2 linked regions of the Diceros bicornis minor genome follow. The protein of the gene in region 1 interacts with the protein of each later gene in a pairwise test. Links are inferred from orthologs where the notes say so. Each region holds a gene or a part of one and is shown in the gene's direction. Other genes may lie near its edges. The genes, in order: ZBTB25 and SEPHS1.

What was found.
Region 2: the proteins of ZBTB25 (region 1) and SEPHS1 interact in binary tests that used the Homo sapiens proteins (3 or more experiments, as listed by UniProt). The two-hybrid records come from large-scale screens. The link is inferred for Diceros bicornis minor from reciprocal best matches to the Homo sapiens genes ZBTB25 and SEPHS1.

Annotation. Positions count from the first base shown.
Region 1 is NC_080763.1:13,580,813-13,589,183, reverse strand, and holds the start of ZBTB25 (zinc finger and BTB domain-containing protein 25), read left to right. Parts: upstream 1-5,069; 5' UTR 5,070-5,133; intron 5,134-8,371. UniProt on the Homo sapiens protein: May be involved in transcriptional regulation.
Region 2 is NC_080775.1:14,120,337-14,128,210, reverse strand, and holds the start of SEPHS1 (selenide, water dikinase 1), read left to right. Parts: upstream 1-4,133; 5' UTR 4,134-4,220; intron 4,221-4,843; exon of another isoform or gene 4,844-5,011; intron 5,012-5,094; exon of another isoform or gene 5,095-6,978; 5' UTR 6,979-7,055; coding exon 7,056-7,248; intron 7,249-7,874. UniProt on the Homo sapiens protein: Synthesizes selenophosphate from selenide and ATP.

The DNA of each region.
Region 1 (8,371 bases):
CGTGTCATCCAAACTGGGATGCTCTGTCACTGCACTCACAGCAGGGAAGATAATTACGCGGCGACCCTGCTCTGCTGTGAGCTCTTTGAGATCAGGGTATGGTCTTAGTCATCACCGAATCCCCTGAGCCTCTGACAGCTGCCTCACATTTAGTTGATATGTGATCAATTTTTGAATGAATAAATTTTGAAGTAGTCAAGTTTTATTTTGCTTATCAATTTTTTGCATTATTTCAATCGGCAACTTTTATACATGCAGTGGTAAAAAATTTACAAAGCAATTTCCCACACATTATATAAATGATTCTCACAACAACCTTGAGGCAGGTATTTTTATTATCCTCATTTTGTGAATGAGGAAACAGGTTTAGTGATTGATACTTAAGTGCTCATCACATAAGTAGAAGATGGGACTCAGACTCTTGACGTTTTTGATTCAGAGCCCTGAGTTTCAGTTTTTATAAACCAGACAACACTCTCTCTGGCAATGACTATTAACTGGTGTCCCTTTGGGACATTCTAAGCCTCCCAGAGTCACCCCATTCTCATACAGCCCCATATTGCAGGCAGAATGCCCAGCCCCTTCCCCATCCCCTCTTCCATCTGCTGACTGCCGCTGTGCCTCAGAGCAAGCCCTCCTCCAATACTGAAGATGTGAAGTGGGGATGGAGCTCTTCTGTTATCTCTAACAAGGATTACATGTATCCCCCATACACAACGAACAGAAAATCTGGTTGGTGATTTAATTCTTTAATTTTCCACTTTTATTTCAAAAACTATTTTCAACTCATAGCAGAGTAGTGTGAAAAACACCCATGTCCCCAACACCCTCAAATCAATGTTGTGATTAAACTTCTATGTACCATTTTGGGGCTTTGTTTTCAGAACATCGTCAACTACTTCACAGTTCCGTCTTCTCGAATATACCAGGCTAAGGAGTAAAAGATTCTGTATTTTGACTAAGATCTCTTGTAGTTACTAGACAAATGACTATACATGTCACATACTTAGAAATCTATCTTAACTATGTACCATCTCCTTCTATGCCACATCTGAAAACCACACAGTCATTAATCCCCTTCTTTCCTCTAATTTCCTTTCCTTGATGTTTGGCAAGCTACCTCCGGATATTGATCAAGAGGAACTCATCCCATATCAGCAGTGGTCATGACAAATATATCAACTCCTTCCCAACTATAAATTATGTAACTCTCTAAAAATGTGAGGATTTTGTTTAAAGGAGTTTAGTCGGTATAAATCAACCCATCAGAGGCTGGACATCAACATTAACATTAAAAAAGTGTGAGAACTAGCCCACCAAGCTACAATAAGTACTTCATAAGGACAAACCCAAAATAGCCATCCTGTTATATGTAAACTCTCATGTCTGTTACTTAATCATACAGTTTTAAATCAGCCCAATGCAAAACATTCCCTTTCCCTCCACCTGGCCCATTCTTACCAACCAGAGCAGTGTACAGAGAACATGAGCCCATGAATCATCTAGGCCATCCCGAGGCAGGGGGAAGCACACACAGCAGCACAGTTATGATCAAATGTTGCCTTCTCGAGTTTTAAACAAGGAATTGACCGTTAACAGTGATTATCTCTGGGGAGTGGGAGTCAGAATGACTTTCATTTTTGTACTATATGTACTTCAGTATAGGTTAAATTTTTACAAAGAGCATGGATTTTATAATAACTTCCATTTTGAGAAAAACAGACATGAGTCACTTTTAATTTAGTTTACATGAGTATAAAAATAATTTCAATATTTTATTGTAAAAAATACTATCACAAGAAAAAAATAGGAGAAAATATCCTATACAGACCAAAGTGACCTCTCAAGCAGATGTTTTTCAAATGTACCTTGATTTTTTTTGGAAGACAACAGATTGTAGCTTAAAAATAAAAACCTATGGTAGTCTTTCTGCATTTTTATCCCAAATGGTTTCCTCCTCTTTGGGCCAGAAGGTTAGCAGCAGAGGCTTAGCACTTTTCCTGGCTGGAGGAGAGGCCTGAAAGCAGGCCCTTCTTTTCTCCTGCACATTAGAATGGGAAATGGTGCTGCAAGGAACACAGACATCTTTAAAAAGCTCCATGAACTGTACCTTTCCCAGAGCCTGGCAAAAGAAGAGAATGAGAAAACAGTACAAAAATTTATCAGCGTTAAAGCGAAATCAAAACATAAGGTCAAGAGCGAGGGGTTGAGGCGTGCTCAGCCCTGCTAGGTCCTGGTTAAACATGGTTTCTCTTTTCTCCGACAATGAGGCACCAGGGCTCCCCCACCTCCTCTGAAGCAGGCCATCATAGTGGGGTGGGAAGAATAGAAAGGCTTCAGGCAAGACTGCTCAACCTGAATTATTCTATACCATGAAAATTTGGTCATAATGGAGAAATCTGCTTTTAAAATGAATATAAGATGTTAACTGAAGGCTCTACTGCAGACTGTCTTTATTAATCTTTAGAAAAGCATTTCACCTCCACTATGCTTCAATTTTCTCTGTTTAAGATGAGGAAGCCCCCATCTAGCTCCCAAAGCCATTCCATTATTACTGAGACTTTTAGGCATCCAGCAAGTAATTCAAAAGGAAAGTTTTGAGGTTCTTATGGTCAGCCATCATTCAAACTTCATCTTTTTGTATCCTAATTCTTCCCATTTCTCCCCATCATATCCATCTGCACTGGCAAAATGTCATAGAATCTAATTTCTCAGCTTCAAAGGACAAGGTGGTGATTGCTTTGAAGTTATCACCAGAACTGCATCCTTCACCAAATCTGCTCCCGAGGGCCTTGAACTTTAGCTCAAGGAACTGATTCTAAGTCGCCTACAAAATGCCTGGGACCACTCCTTGGGTTCGAATGTCAAAGAGAAAATTGTTCCTGGAACAGTTTTCCTGCCGTGATACATACTGTATGGAAATACACTCAAGCCAAGGAAGAATCTGCGCGTACCTACCACGCTGAAGCTCCATTTAGGAATATTATTATACACATACAAATGCCCTACTGTCCCCAGAAAACATCAAGGACTTTCACCAACATCTTCCTGACACTTCCAATTTGGAGAATGTCACGTCAACCTTTCAGATCAGGTAGACGCGTTGCTTAGGTAGAAACGGAGACTGGGAGGGTGGCTGAGCTCAGACCCAAGCCTACATATTTTAGCGGTAACGACTCCCAATCTACGTCCAACACACGTACCGACCACTAAGAGAACTTCTTAGTAAGCGCCCACCACTGGAAGCGAAAGCACTTTCTTCCCAGGAAACAGATCTTTTCCACTGAAAATTCCCAAACCCGAGACCTACCACTTTTTACTGAACAAAAAACCGTGTGTGCCGGTAAGAGGAGGTGGGAAAGAGCGTGGCAAGAATTTGCACGGCTCTTACGCCTCCTCCCTCGGAGCGCGCCCAAGTCTGCGGCCTCGGCTCCGGGACACTTCCCCTCCCACCCGCCCAGGAGCCGCAGCTGTAAGTTGAGAGAAGCGGGCTCTGGGCACGTCAATCAACCGGGTCCTCCCGCCTCCCGTCTACACCTCCCCTCCCCCCTCAAAAAAATAAAGGCAGAGAAAGAAAGGGAAAAGAAGGTAACTAATTTGGGAACTAGTCTCCGCGGGGGCTTCGCCTCCGACCCACGGAGGCCGCACGTCCCGGACCAGGCGCGCCGGCGGGCGGCGGGGTCGAGCAGGCGGCCCGGCAGCCGCCCGTCGCCGGGTCCTCGCCGCGCGTCCTCCGCGCTCCGGCTCCCCGCACGGGTCGGCGCCGCTCCGGCTCCGCACTCCGCCAGGCCTGCGGTCCGCCGCCCTCCGGCCCGGCCCAAAGTTGCGCAAATAGCCCCACAACTGGCAAATACTCACCGGCCGCAGCAGGAACCGGGGCTGCGGAGATTTTAGGGAGTTTAAGGCAAATCAGCCGCGGGAAAGGCGGGCGGAGGCGAAGGGGCCGCGAGCTGCAGTGGCGGCGGCGCTCGGGCTGGGCTGCGCGGAGAGGTTCTGGCTCTGCCAGGGACTGTGCTGCAACAAAGGACTTCCGCTGCCGCACAGCCGCGCCTGCCGCACCGCACTGAGCCGGCCCCGCTTACGCGGCGACTCCGGGTCTGCCCACCAGTTCGCTGCGGCGTCCGCCAGCCTTCCCCTCCCTCTCGCCCGCCCACCCACTCCGCCGCTGGCTGCTAGGGGCACCCGCGGTCGCCTGTTTGTTGCAACAAGTTTCTGCGTCGGGCTCCGAGAAGGCTGGCGCAACCCGCACCGCGGGGGCCGGCGCGGCGGCGGCCTGACCACCTCTCTCGCCCCTCTCCCAAGGGTAGGCTTGGGACCTCCTCCTCCTCCTGTTTGCACAGCTGGTCAGGACGGGGCTGGTCAGGACGGGGCTCCTCCCGACTCCCCAAGGGCAGGATGCTGCTTTCCCACTCCGTCCAGATGTCAGACCCCTGCCCCGTAGGGCCCAGCAGCTGGGCCTTCCCTCGCACTACGTCCGTGGTGTTCTGGGGGTGCCAGCACCATCACCCTGTCTCGTGCGCGGCCAGTCCGTCCATGGTTGCCCATTCCCCGCGCTCCCCCCACCCTGCCTTCCATGGGCCTGTCCGCCTCCGGCCTTGAGTCACTTCCCCCGCCATGCCCCACCCCGCCCAGCCCGCCTCCCCTCCCAGATTCCCGCGGCTCAGCTTCCCTGGCCCCGCGCCCTCACCCCTCTCCTCGCGAACACGCGGGCGCATCCTTGCCCACCCCCACCCCCGAACAGAGGGGGTGCCCGTGCTTTTGCACACCCTGGGGAAAGTCCCCAAGTCACGCGGTTGTGTGTGGGGAGCCTGTGACGCTCAGGCTCGTCTGCACGCTTCCGCCTACAGTCACGACTGGGGACTGTGGCGGAGGCGCCCCAAGCGCACGCCGACCCCTGCCTGGCCACTCGAGCGGGCGAGTGCGCACGCACGCACACAGACTTCGGCCCCGCGCCCCTGGTTCCTCGGCTACCAGGCGCGCGATCACGTGGGCCCATCGCGGGGCGGCCGGCGCGGGAAGCCGCGCGAGAGCCGGCAGCGGGGTGCGTGAGCCGGCGCCGCCGCGTGACGTACACGGCGCGGGAGCCGCCCCTCCCGCACGGAGGAGCCGGCCGGCGGCCGCGGCGGCGTCTGGGTAAGCGACGCGGCCCGGCCCTTGTGGGCTGCTCCGGGCTCAGTCCCTCCCGCCGCGAGCCGCCCTGGGCGGGGGCCTGCAGCTGCGCCGGTCGCGGGACAGATGCAAGTAGCTGGGGAGAGGGGTGTTTTTGGTCCATTTGAGATGTCAATCAGGGCACAAGAGGAAAATGGCAACCGCATGTGAGCGCTGGGCTGAGGATGCCCGGAGCCGCCTGTCGCTGCCGACACAAGGCGCTGCCGGGGCCTGACGCAAGCCGGGACGGCGCGCGGGGAACCGCAAAGGCATGGCGCCCTCCCCGCCGCGGGCCTGGGTGCGACCCCAAGCGGGAAGTCCCGGCGGGCCTCCGGCTTTTCCCCGGCGGCCGCGCCGGCCCTTCTCGCAAGTGGGCGGGTCTCCAGGTGCAGCCTGCGAGACGCTGCGGCCGCTGTCCTCCCTCTCCCTCCCCCACCCCCGTTGGTGATTACCCGTTTCTAGGGCAGGAAGTCCCCCCCAAATTCATTTGTTTCTTTTTTCAGATTATATTAATCTTACTTTAAGCAAATCGAGTTTTTCGTTTTTGGAGCTTGCCCTATTCATTACTGTCTTCCCTGGCGCTTATTATTTGGGGAAATCAAGCTGCTTAGGCAGCACCTAGCGCTATACCTGGAACTTGACAGCAGCCAACAGGTTTCATAAATTAACGCCCATTTCCCCCAAGGGATTAAATTTGGCATTCATTCTCTTGAGACAAATCTTTTTGGCAAAGCTGTCGATTCTCACAGGATTTTGTCAAGTGTGTAAAGTACACTTTTGAATCAGATTTTAAAGCTGAAGGGGGCCTTATAGAAAATCTAGTTCATCCTCTCGTTTTACAGATGAGGACACCACGCCTAAAGGAGCGTGTAGTTTGATGGGGTCCTACACTTGAGTAACTGAGCTCCAGGGTTGCGCTGTGCACCACATCAGGAGTCCAATGCCAGTTTAACCCACTCACTGTAGAGACCCTCCATCAGAGCTGATTATACTTGCCTTAATTCAGGTTATGGAGAAATCAGGTTTGGCCAGTGTGTGATGGCTCTGGTACTTTAAGGAATGGAGTTGGCACTATTTCTAGGTGGAGTAGACTGCCTGTGATGTACTTTGGAGTTCAAAGCCCGTCTCCCCCCAGTTCAGCCCTATTCTCTGCAAGAATAACCAACGTTTGCAGCATTGCTTGCTTCCTTAGGTTAAGGCATCAAAGTCCTCTTTAGCAATCTGGATATGTTTTAATTAAGGATAAACTATTAATCCGTCATCAGACATCAGCTCCTTAATAGGGAACAGAACACTGATGGGATAGTACATGGGATAGATTAGTTCTTATGGCTGGGAGGTTATCAGGAAACAGTGGAACATCACAGGGGTGGTCAGCAAGAAAGGAGGGAGGACCTCATGTGACTTGCTACGCCTTTTTGCCCAGCCCTGCCCTGAGTGTCTTATTTGGAGGTAGTTGAGATGGATCCTGCTCAGGTTTGGTCGCTGTTTGAGTACCTGCAGTGGCTAGCTACTTTCATAGATGAATTTTGAATACTTTGCAAAAAGGAAGTAGTAGTATCTCCATGTTACAAATGAGGAAACAGGCTCAGAGAGATTTACCTGGCTTCATTTGCAGTAGAATTCAAGTCTGGATCACTTATCTCCCAAGTCCAGTCAGTGCTCTTTTGCATTATATCTTGCTACCACTTCAAGCCAGGAAGGGGATGAGAGAATCGCCTGCGGCTGATTTATTGGCGCCTGTGGTTGCCCAGAGAGGCCGAGCAGGACTTTTCAGCTGCCCTCTCTGCTTTAGAAAGTGGAGTTGTGTGCTTCCACCCTATCTCCTGAGGGGAATGCGAAGGAGCCAGGCTGTCTAGCTGGGGAGGAGGGGCCCAAGTGCCTTGGCCGTAAAATATCCTGCCCAGGGCTGTGCTGGGAAGTGTTGCGTAATGCCCTCCCCACCGCTGAACCAAAGTGATTTATTTACTATGGTCTGTAGGTGGTGCTTGACCATCTTGTTAAAGAAAAACGTGTCCATTTTAGTAGTAACAGGGCCAGAAAAGAGGGGGGGTTTTATATTATTGCAGGCTTTTTTCTTGTCTTAAAAAAGCAGTGCAGGTGCTCTTATCTTGATCAATTATAAAGTACTTCTACACCACTTCCTGTGCCCCCTTTCTGCTTATTTATTCCAAATTGCATGTGAACTTCAGTCTTTTGAGAGAAGAATGTTAAGAGAACTACTGCTCCAGTTCATAGTTACCAGCACAGGCTATGGAGTCAGACCTAGCTTTTGATCCCCACTTGATACTATTTGCTAGTTATGTGTCCTAAGCCTAGGGGTTTTTTCATCAGTAAAATGGAAATAAAAATAACACGTATAGTCACAGTGAGGATTAAAAGAAATAATGTACATAGAGCACTTAGCACAAGGCCTTGCGTATAGTATTTACTCATAATAGTAGCTTTGATAATAACTAGAACAGTATTATTCCCTCTAGGATAGGAAAGATATTGCTACTTGAACTTGCTTCGGGTGGGTGGAGGAAGAGGAAAGAAATTGAAGCAAACATCAGTTTCAGGATTATTGATTGAATTTATTAAAACTTCTGCTTTCCCTTTGCCAGCAGGAATTTTTTCTTTTTCTCTTTTTTTTTTTTTTTTTGACCTTATCTGGAGAAAAAGTGTCCATAGTGTTAAGCTGGTTATTTTTGAAATTTTTCTAATTCGTTCCTTCCCTGGTTACAAATTAATCATACAATGACTTTTTGTTCCTCCTGAAAAACTCTGGGCACTTTAAGCAAAGGGTTTCATTAGCCCATGCGGATAAGGTGTTTGTGGAATGTTCCATGGCAAAGGAAGTATTGGCTCACCTATATTCAGAAGTTATAATCGTTCTTGTTTCTACTGTATTCTAGGTCTGTACTAGCCTTGTCGCTTTCCACCTTTCTCCTGTCCTTTGAGTACCTTATATTTTCTTTCAGAAATGCAGTCTATTTTTTTAGTGGACTAAGAAGAATCTTTTTCTTTCCTTCACAGCGTTCTGATGTTTTTAAGGTCCACTAGCAATTTGCAGTCACCAGTGTTAGCATTCTTGTTTGCCTGGTGCTGCGGCTTTATCAGGCATCCCACATGTTGGTTAGATGGGTTAGAGATGTAGCAGGCTGGCTGTGTCTGCCAACAGGCAGGAGGCCCCAAACTAACGTTTCCCTGTTCCGTTAAAGGTTTTTAGAGCATAACTGCA
Region 2 (7,874 bases), on another chromosome or scaffold:
GCGAGAACGGGCGGCTTAAGTGGAGTGAAGCTACAAGTCATTAGATTTGAAATGTCTGTTGCCCACCAGGTCTTATTTCTGATCACACACTCCCACCGCCCTCCACAATGACAGATCAGCGGCCGTGTTTGAACGAGAATAACTCAAACAATGTAAGGAAGTGACCAAGCCGGAAACAGATGGTGGAATGCTGGATAGCAAGAACCCTAAAGACAGACAGGACATAAGGAAGGCAGGACAGAGGAAAAGTAATGTCACGGAGCTAGGAGAGTGTGGGAAGCAGATGAACAGGCAGCCTCCTGCCCTCTGGCTTTCTGAGAAAGCATCACCACCACCAGGGGAGCCCATCCAAAGTGTGGGTTCTTAGCACCTCCTACCCCCACATACACCTCAGACACGCTGTATTGATTTCCTGTGGCTGCCATAACAAATACCACAAACAGGGTGGCTTAAAACAACAGAAATGTATTCTCCCACAGTTCTGGAGGCCAGGAGTCTGAAATCAAGGTGTCAGCAGGGCCGTGGTCTCTCTGATGGTTCTAGGGGGGATCCTTCCTACTTCTGGTAGTTGTGGGCAATCCTTGGCTTGTAGCTCCATCACTCCAATCTCTGCCTTGTCTTCATGTGGCTTTCTTCCCTGCCTCTCTGTCTCCAAATCTCCCTTCTCTCTTTTTTTTTTTTTTTGGTGAGGAAGATTAGCCCTGAGCTAACATTTGTTGCCAATCCTCCTCTTTTTGCTGAGGAAGATTGGCCCTGGGCTAACATCCGTGCCCATCTTCCTCCACTTTATATGTGGGATGCCTGCCCCAGCCTGGCTTGATAAGTGGTACATAGGTCTGTGCCTGGGATCTGAACCCATGAACCCCAGGCCACCAAAGCAGAGCATGTGAACCTAACCACTACGCCACTGGGCTGGCCCCCAAATCTCTCATTTCTTATAAGTCATTGGATTTAGAGTCCACCCTAACCCAGTACGACCTCACCTTAACTTGATTACATCTGCAAAGACCTTATTTCCCAATAAGGCCACATTCATAGGTACTAGAGGTTAGGAGTTCAATATATCTTTTGGGGGGGGCACAACTGTTAAAGAAAAAACTTTATGACTCTTGTTAAAGATGGTAAGGCAGATGATTCAGGACCATTGTGATAGGTCACTGTGATAGAATTTTGCAGTGGGGGAGAGAGAGTGTGCACAATTCTGAACACAGCATGGGCAAGTGGGCCTTCATAACCAAGGACCAAGGTGGGGGGCAGTGGACGGGAAATTACTAAGACACATCAGGGGTGAGAGGGGTTCTGGCTAAACCGACCTAACAGGATTCTTGCTGAAGTCAGGCCAGGTGATCAGACGTCACCTGGGGGGATGGTGGAGGATGAGGAACATGATCAGATATTGAGGGTGATCAGATATCACTCTCGCTAAAACTGAATTTTACAAGGAAGTGCACAGTTGGGCCTAGGAGAAGGTTCATGAACCTGACTAAAGTTTGGTCAAGCAAAGAGTCTTTGTCATAATTCAACCCATTGCACCTGCTAGATATAATCTTCAGAGTGGGGCTGGTAAATTCGTATTTTTAACAAGCCTCCAGCAAGTAACGCAACCCAGGGGAACCATCTTTCAGGTGGAGCCAGTAGGACCTGAGAACCCAGGGGAGATGGTTCCCAAAGGAACAGGGCTCTGATGAGCCCACTGGGGAAGGCTCATAGAAAGGATGGCAGGAGAAAGAAGACTGACCTGGGGAAGCACAGAGGGAGGCTTGCGTTTAGGGCAAAGAAAGGGAAGGACAAGAGATCTGGTGGGTTATCTATCTCCAAGGTTGTAGACTGACTCTAGATGAATCGAGATCATCTGTGGCTTAGTCAAAAGTCTACAGCCTCTGCTCAAGAGAATGTGTCTCAAGCTGCAACCCCCAGGGCTGGGGGAGGAATGATTTTGAGCATGCTAACCCTCCCACAGACTCAGCAAGGATCAGCCTCTTGCTCGCCCAGCCATTCAATTTTGGAGCTCGGCAGGGCTCTGTCCAAGGTCTCTGTCACTTTTTTCCTGCATTCTCCCTACCGGTTAATCTCACCTCTTTCAGAGGCTTCAAACCCCATTTACATGCTGATGCACCCACGTTTGCATCTCAAACTCAGAACCCACCCCCACCCCAAGCGCCAGACCTAGTTTTACCAATTGCCTTCTGCCTAGACTATCCAGCGGGCACCTGAAATTTAACATTTCCAAAGCTGAACTCGCTCCAAAACTTCTTTGTCTTTCAGTAGTTTCTATTTCAGTTAGTAGCATCACTACCCACCCAGGCCCCCAAAACTAGAAACCTGGGGGTCATCTTATGCTTCTTCCTCCAACCACACACTAGATCACCTCAAATCCCCTTCCCTGTCTGCGTTCCCCGCTGCTTCAGTTCCAATACCCTCGACTCTGATCTACGCTTGACTAGTACAATTACCTCCTAACTAGAGATGTGGTCCTAGTTTCCCCTCTGGAGAGGGCATCCTCCCAGATGTGGTACAGCCATCGTTACAAGCTAAAGTTGTAAGCAACAAATCTGACAAACTCTTGCTGACTACAACAGAAATATCAAACTTCTCGGTATGACACGCGCGCCTTCACAGAGAGCCCTACTCAACTCTGCCGAATCACCTTCCTCCTAATCACCCAAAGTCTTTTTTTTCTAGTTGTGACATTTTTTGCCGAGAAACAAACGAAACCAAAACCCAACAACTCACAAAATCAATTTTAAAAGGGGAGGGATGAGGGGAATAAAGATATCCGTATCCTTCCTTGATTCTGGAGTATTGCCTGGAGATTGTGTGGACCTGTCTTCCCAGGTGATTCAGAGGCAAATCCAGGTGTGTCAACCACAGATTGATGCCAGTCTTACAAAAGTCCAACAAATCACATTAAAGCTAGGCTACTACATTCTTTCCTAACTTACGACAGTACACAGAAAGGACACAGAGAGGAGGAGCCTGTATCAGCCCGGTCTTCTAGGTTGCATCACTTCTGCATCCTCCCTTAGATTAAAACCCTGGGGAATTGTCAAGCAGAAATTTTAAGAATGAAAAAGGCATCTCGGCAGCCTGCAAACCTGACGCGCAACCTAAAGCACAGTTCGGTTGCCAAAAACATTTCTGGTCAAAAACACATTTGGAAAATGCTGAACCACTCTAAAGTTTGGTCGGCATTCCTCCACACTCCTCAGTTTTAAGGGAAGCCCTAAGATGTAGCATGAAAGCATTTTTGCTTTATTTCAATCAGCAGAGCATCAGGAAGTTGAGAGAAGTAATTTCACAAGCCGAAGCTCTCCTATCGGTGTTAATTGAAACCCATAGGGTATTAGGCTGCCATGTTTACTTGGACATGTGAAGAGCAAACAATGCAACTGAGGATCCGTAAGCTCTCACTTCCTACCAAGCGTATTAAACTTTCAAGAAACTGCAGGATGTGTGCATATTCACCAAGTCTCATCTTAACTCCTGAGCCGGGCTAAACAATAGAAGGGAGAGACGGTGAAGTCATTATTAATCAAACGCGCCGTTTGCTTTTAAATCTTTCATTGTAGCAGAGGCGGCTTTTCCTCTGCTCCTAATCTTTCTCAGATTCTTTCCACGGTCATTGTCCTCCAGGACAACACGCCGGGAGCGCTCGGGGAGCAGGTACAGCGACCCGCAGAGCGTGGCGCGGTTGAGCCGGGCCAGGTTTTGGAAAACATTCCCGGCCCTTCCAGCGGGTCAAGAAAAAGTAGGTGGCCTGGGCGCCAAAGGCGGCTGCCAATGCAACTCGCAACTTTTGAAATCAATCCTTTTTGCATCATGCAACGGATGCCACCGCTCCTCGGGTTTGCAACCCCCCACCCCTCCCCCGAGACCAATCATTGCCGCGCTCGGGCCTGCACACCGCCCCCGCCCCCTTCCCGGGCCGCACGCAGCCAGCGAGCCGCTCCGGCCGCGGCCCGCCGCCTCTTAAAGGGAGGTAGCCGGCCCTTAAAGGCCCCTCGCGCGCGGCGCACGGCGGCCCCGTTCCCGGCAGGGGCCCGCCGAGCCAGGCCGAGCCCCCGCGGCGCCCAGGCGCGGCCCGGGGCCCTCCCGCCCTCCGCCGCCGGGAGCGGCATTTTTATTCAGGCGACGCTTAAGGGAGCCCGGCCGCGCCCGGTGCATTGTGGGAGCGCCGGAGTCCCGTTCGCGGGAGGAGGAGGAGGGCGCAAGGCGAACCGGTAAGCGCCCGGCTGGGGAGGGGGGGCGAGACACCAGGCTTAAAGGGGCATATTCGTCCGCAGGCCCATGGCGGCCGTGCAGATCCCCCTCCGGGCCGCCGGGGCCCGCCGGGAGCCGTGCACGGCCGGCGCGCTCCAGCGCTGCCTGGAGAGGGGCAGAGCCAGGGCTTGGTGGGGCCGCTTTAAAAAGAAGCACCGCCCGCGCCGCCGCCGCCGCCGCCGCGCGGAGCCGGGGAAGGAGGGAGGGAGGAGGGCGGGGGAGGAGTGGAGGGGGAGGGCGGCGGCGGCGACGCAGGGGTTAATTTTTTCGCCCGCCGACATTTTTGCGCGGCGGCGGCGGCGGCCCGCGCGCGCGGCGGGAGAGCCCAGCGCGGTCCCCTGGGCGCGGCGCGCGGCGCCTCCCGGCCCTCCCCGCCCCCACGCGCGCGCCCTCCGGCCCGCGGGCGCCGCCTGACCCTGGGCGCCCCGGCCGCGCCCGCCCCGCCGCGGCCGGGGGGCCCGCGGGCCGCGCGCCGCTCCCGTCGCCGCCGCCGGGAGAGCATGGCCCAGCCGGCGGCGCCGCGCCGCCTCCGCCCGGCCGCGGCCAGCCCGCCGCGCCGCGCCGCACAAAGAGCCCGGGCCCGGGGCGCCTGTAGAGGCGGCAGCCTGAGACTTAAGGCGTCCCCGAGTCCGGTCCTCCGCGCTCTGGCCGCCGCCTCGACGTGCGCTGCATGGGGAGCGCCGGGGCCCCGCGCCCGCGTCGCGGTGGCCACCCCATTGTCTGCTCCCTGGGCTTAGGGGCTGGGGGGTAGGTAGGTACCGGGCGGGGCTGCCCCTCTGCTCCCCCACTCACTGCGCTCCCCCGGCGCCGTAGCCCGCTTTGCGCGCTCGGTTACAAACAGTTTCAACGTAGCCGAGAAAGAAAGGGTTAACCTTCGTCTTTAAATATTCATATCGTTGTTTTAAAGGTGTAAACATGCGGCTTTCTGGGTTGGAGTTGACTGCCTCTTCTGATGCAGATTGAACCCCCCCGTTAATTACTCATTTCCCCCGAGCACTCCGCCCTTTCTCATCCCCTCCAAAAATGTACGGGTTTATCTTTTTAAGGTTCGGATGTGAGTGTGTGTGTGATTTGGGTTTCTCGTTCCTTTTGGAATTTTAAAACTCCTGTGTGCCTTCTGGACTTAGGGTCTCTCAAACTTTTTTCCCCCTTAAAAATTTGGAAAGATGTAAATTATGTCTAAAAGGAAGTTAATCCCCCAAATGCCAAATTCCTCTCCCCGCCTTTTTTTTTTTTGTTGTTTTTTTGGATAGGGGTGCAGGTAGGAAAATAACTGGATGCCTCGTGAGTTGGATTTTTTTTTTTTCCTGGTATGAGTGAGGTGGTGTTAAATGCGAGGCATTTTGTGAGGAAAGGACTTGTTTTTGATCCAGACACTTCCAAGTTGAAGTGGTGGTAAACTTTTCCTAACTCTAAAATGGCTTCAAAGTTCCCATGTCGGTAAACTGGCTCTGCCCGCCTGCCGCCTTCGTTTTGGACAGGTTGTTCATGAATGTTGGAAGGTTTATTCCTGTACAATTGTAGGTTTCAAACTGAAATCCTTGCTCATCCCAAACGTGTTTTTGTAAAGTCGGTTTGGATTACTGCCCAAACTCGGGCTTTGTGAGATTTATTTTCAACTGGCGATGTGCTTCCCAGGGATCGAAAACTATAAATGGGAATTATGTTCTTAATCATAAATTTTAGAGGGGAAACCAACCCTAAAACTTGGGGCGTATGTAATTCTATGCCCAATAAAGTATCACTCGTCCGGTTTGTAAACCCTAGGAGCACATGTAAGTTTTTGGTTTAGCCCCAAAGGCCTCAAACTTAGAAGAGCTTGTTGCAGAAACTTCCAGTGGTACCAAGTATCATAAATGTTAGTGATTTAGTAGGGTTTAATTTATCGTTTTAGTTCTGCAATGAAATGGTAATGAGCAGTAGCATGTTTTGTCAGCGATGTGTTTGTACTAGTTTGCTGGGTGGGATGTTTGCTTTCGAGGAAATAGCACTGCATTAAAACATCAGAGAACTTTCCACTGCTCTCTTTGAAGAAAATGATCCTTGTGGTGTTAAACAGCCATCCCAGTTTGCAAGTTGTGTTCTGTAGTGAGGCCTCCTATTAGTTTTGGATCGTGTTGTGTACTTTTGGCTCGGAGTGAAAACGTGTTTTTCTAAAATGAGACTTAGCATCATGAAGAATTTCATCAAACGCATTTCCATCCACATCCATTTCCCGCAGAGTTTCTATGAGACGTTTTATTTGTGACATTGCAAAGGTTTTCCAGAAAAGTCGCTTTAGCCAGAATGTTTAATTTCTGAACTGAAGTGCGTCTAGGTTGACAGGTGAAGTGACAAGAGGTGTTCTCACGGTGCTGCCTGCTAGAACCTTTGGGGCTTAGTGTTCAAAATGGTGCTGTGTCACGGAAGCCTGCGGGCCCATAGTTCCTTCTTCAGAGGAGGTCTTCCTCGCTGCCCCTCAGAGCCACAGTTATAACACAGACGTCAGATCTTCCTCCGTAGAAGATGTCTGTGATGGTGTTGTCACTTTATCAAATGACTTGCCCTGACTTATGCATCTCTGTGGCGAACTGTTGTGGCCCCAAATCACTTTCCCTGTGGTGTTGGTGATTTTAGGCCTTTTGACATTTATTTTTCACTATGGTGTGTTCCCTTGATTCTTGGCAAGTACTGGTGAGAATTCTTTAAATGGTGTCTTTGTGTCTTGGGGCTACCTAGGTGGATCTGTCAAGAAACCAGCCGGCTAGGAGAGGGAGGGGAGGAGCCCGGCTGTGAGACGTGTGGGCCCAAGAACCATGTCTACGCGGGAGTCCTTTAACCCGGAAAGTTATGAATTGGACAAGAGCTTCCGGCTAACCAGATTCACTGAACTGAAGGGCACTGGCTGCAAGGTGCCCCAAGATGTCCTGCAGAAATTGCTGGAGTCCTTACAGGAGAACCACTTCCAAGAAGATGAACAGTTTCTGGGAGCAGTCATGCCAAGGCTCGGTATGTGAACCGTTGTTTCTTTATACTTCCCTGAGTAAAGCGTCTCTGACTGCAGGCCAGTCAGTGAGTCAAAAACCAGACTTCTCTCCTCTCGTATTGGTTTTTTTTTGTCTGTCTTTCTAATTTCTGTAAGGAGGATTCAAAGAGCAAAGAGGTGGTAACTGTGTCACGTTATTGTAACTTATTTGGAGGAAACACTTGAAAAGCATCCAGAAATGCATTCTAACCGTTTTTAAACTATTAAGTATGTGATGGAGACAATTATATTACAGTAGAAGCATTTTTTATTAAATTGAATTTTCTGGTTAGCTGAAGATTAAGCAGAAACTCCTTTATGTCTTTACGTAAAATTTTCCTTAAAATGCTTGCATTGTCTTGGGAAAGGTGGTACTTCAGCATCGCTGTGCAGTACTTGGAGAGCAGTCGCGGGTCAGGGAGACCCTGGGGGTCCTCTGTAATATGCAGTGTGTGAAATACTTCTGTGGGGAGGAGGGAGAGGAAGACTGCTCCAGACACAGAGGGGAGGAGCAGACTGGACTGAATCTGTACTTGACCCCAGGACGTCTTCTGGAATTGAGAGCTGTGTTTTCTTCTTCACTAAATTCCTGAGGTCATTAGTGGTTTGC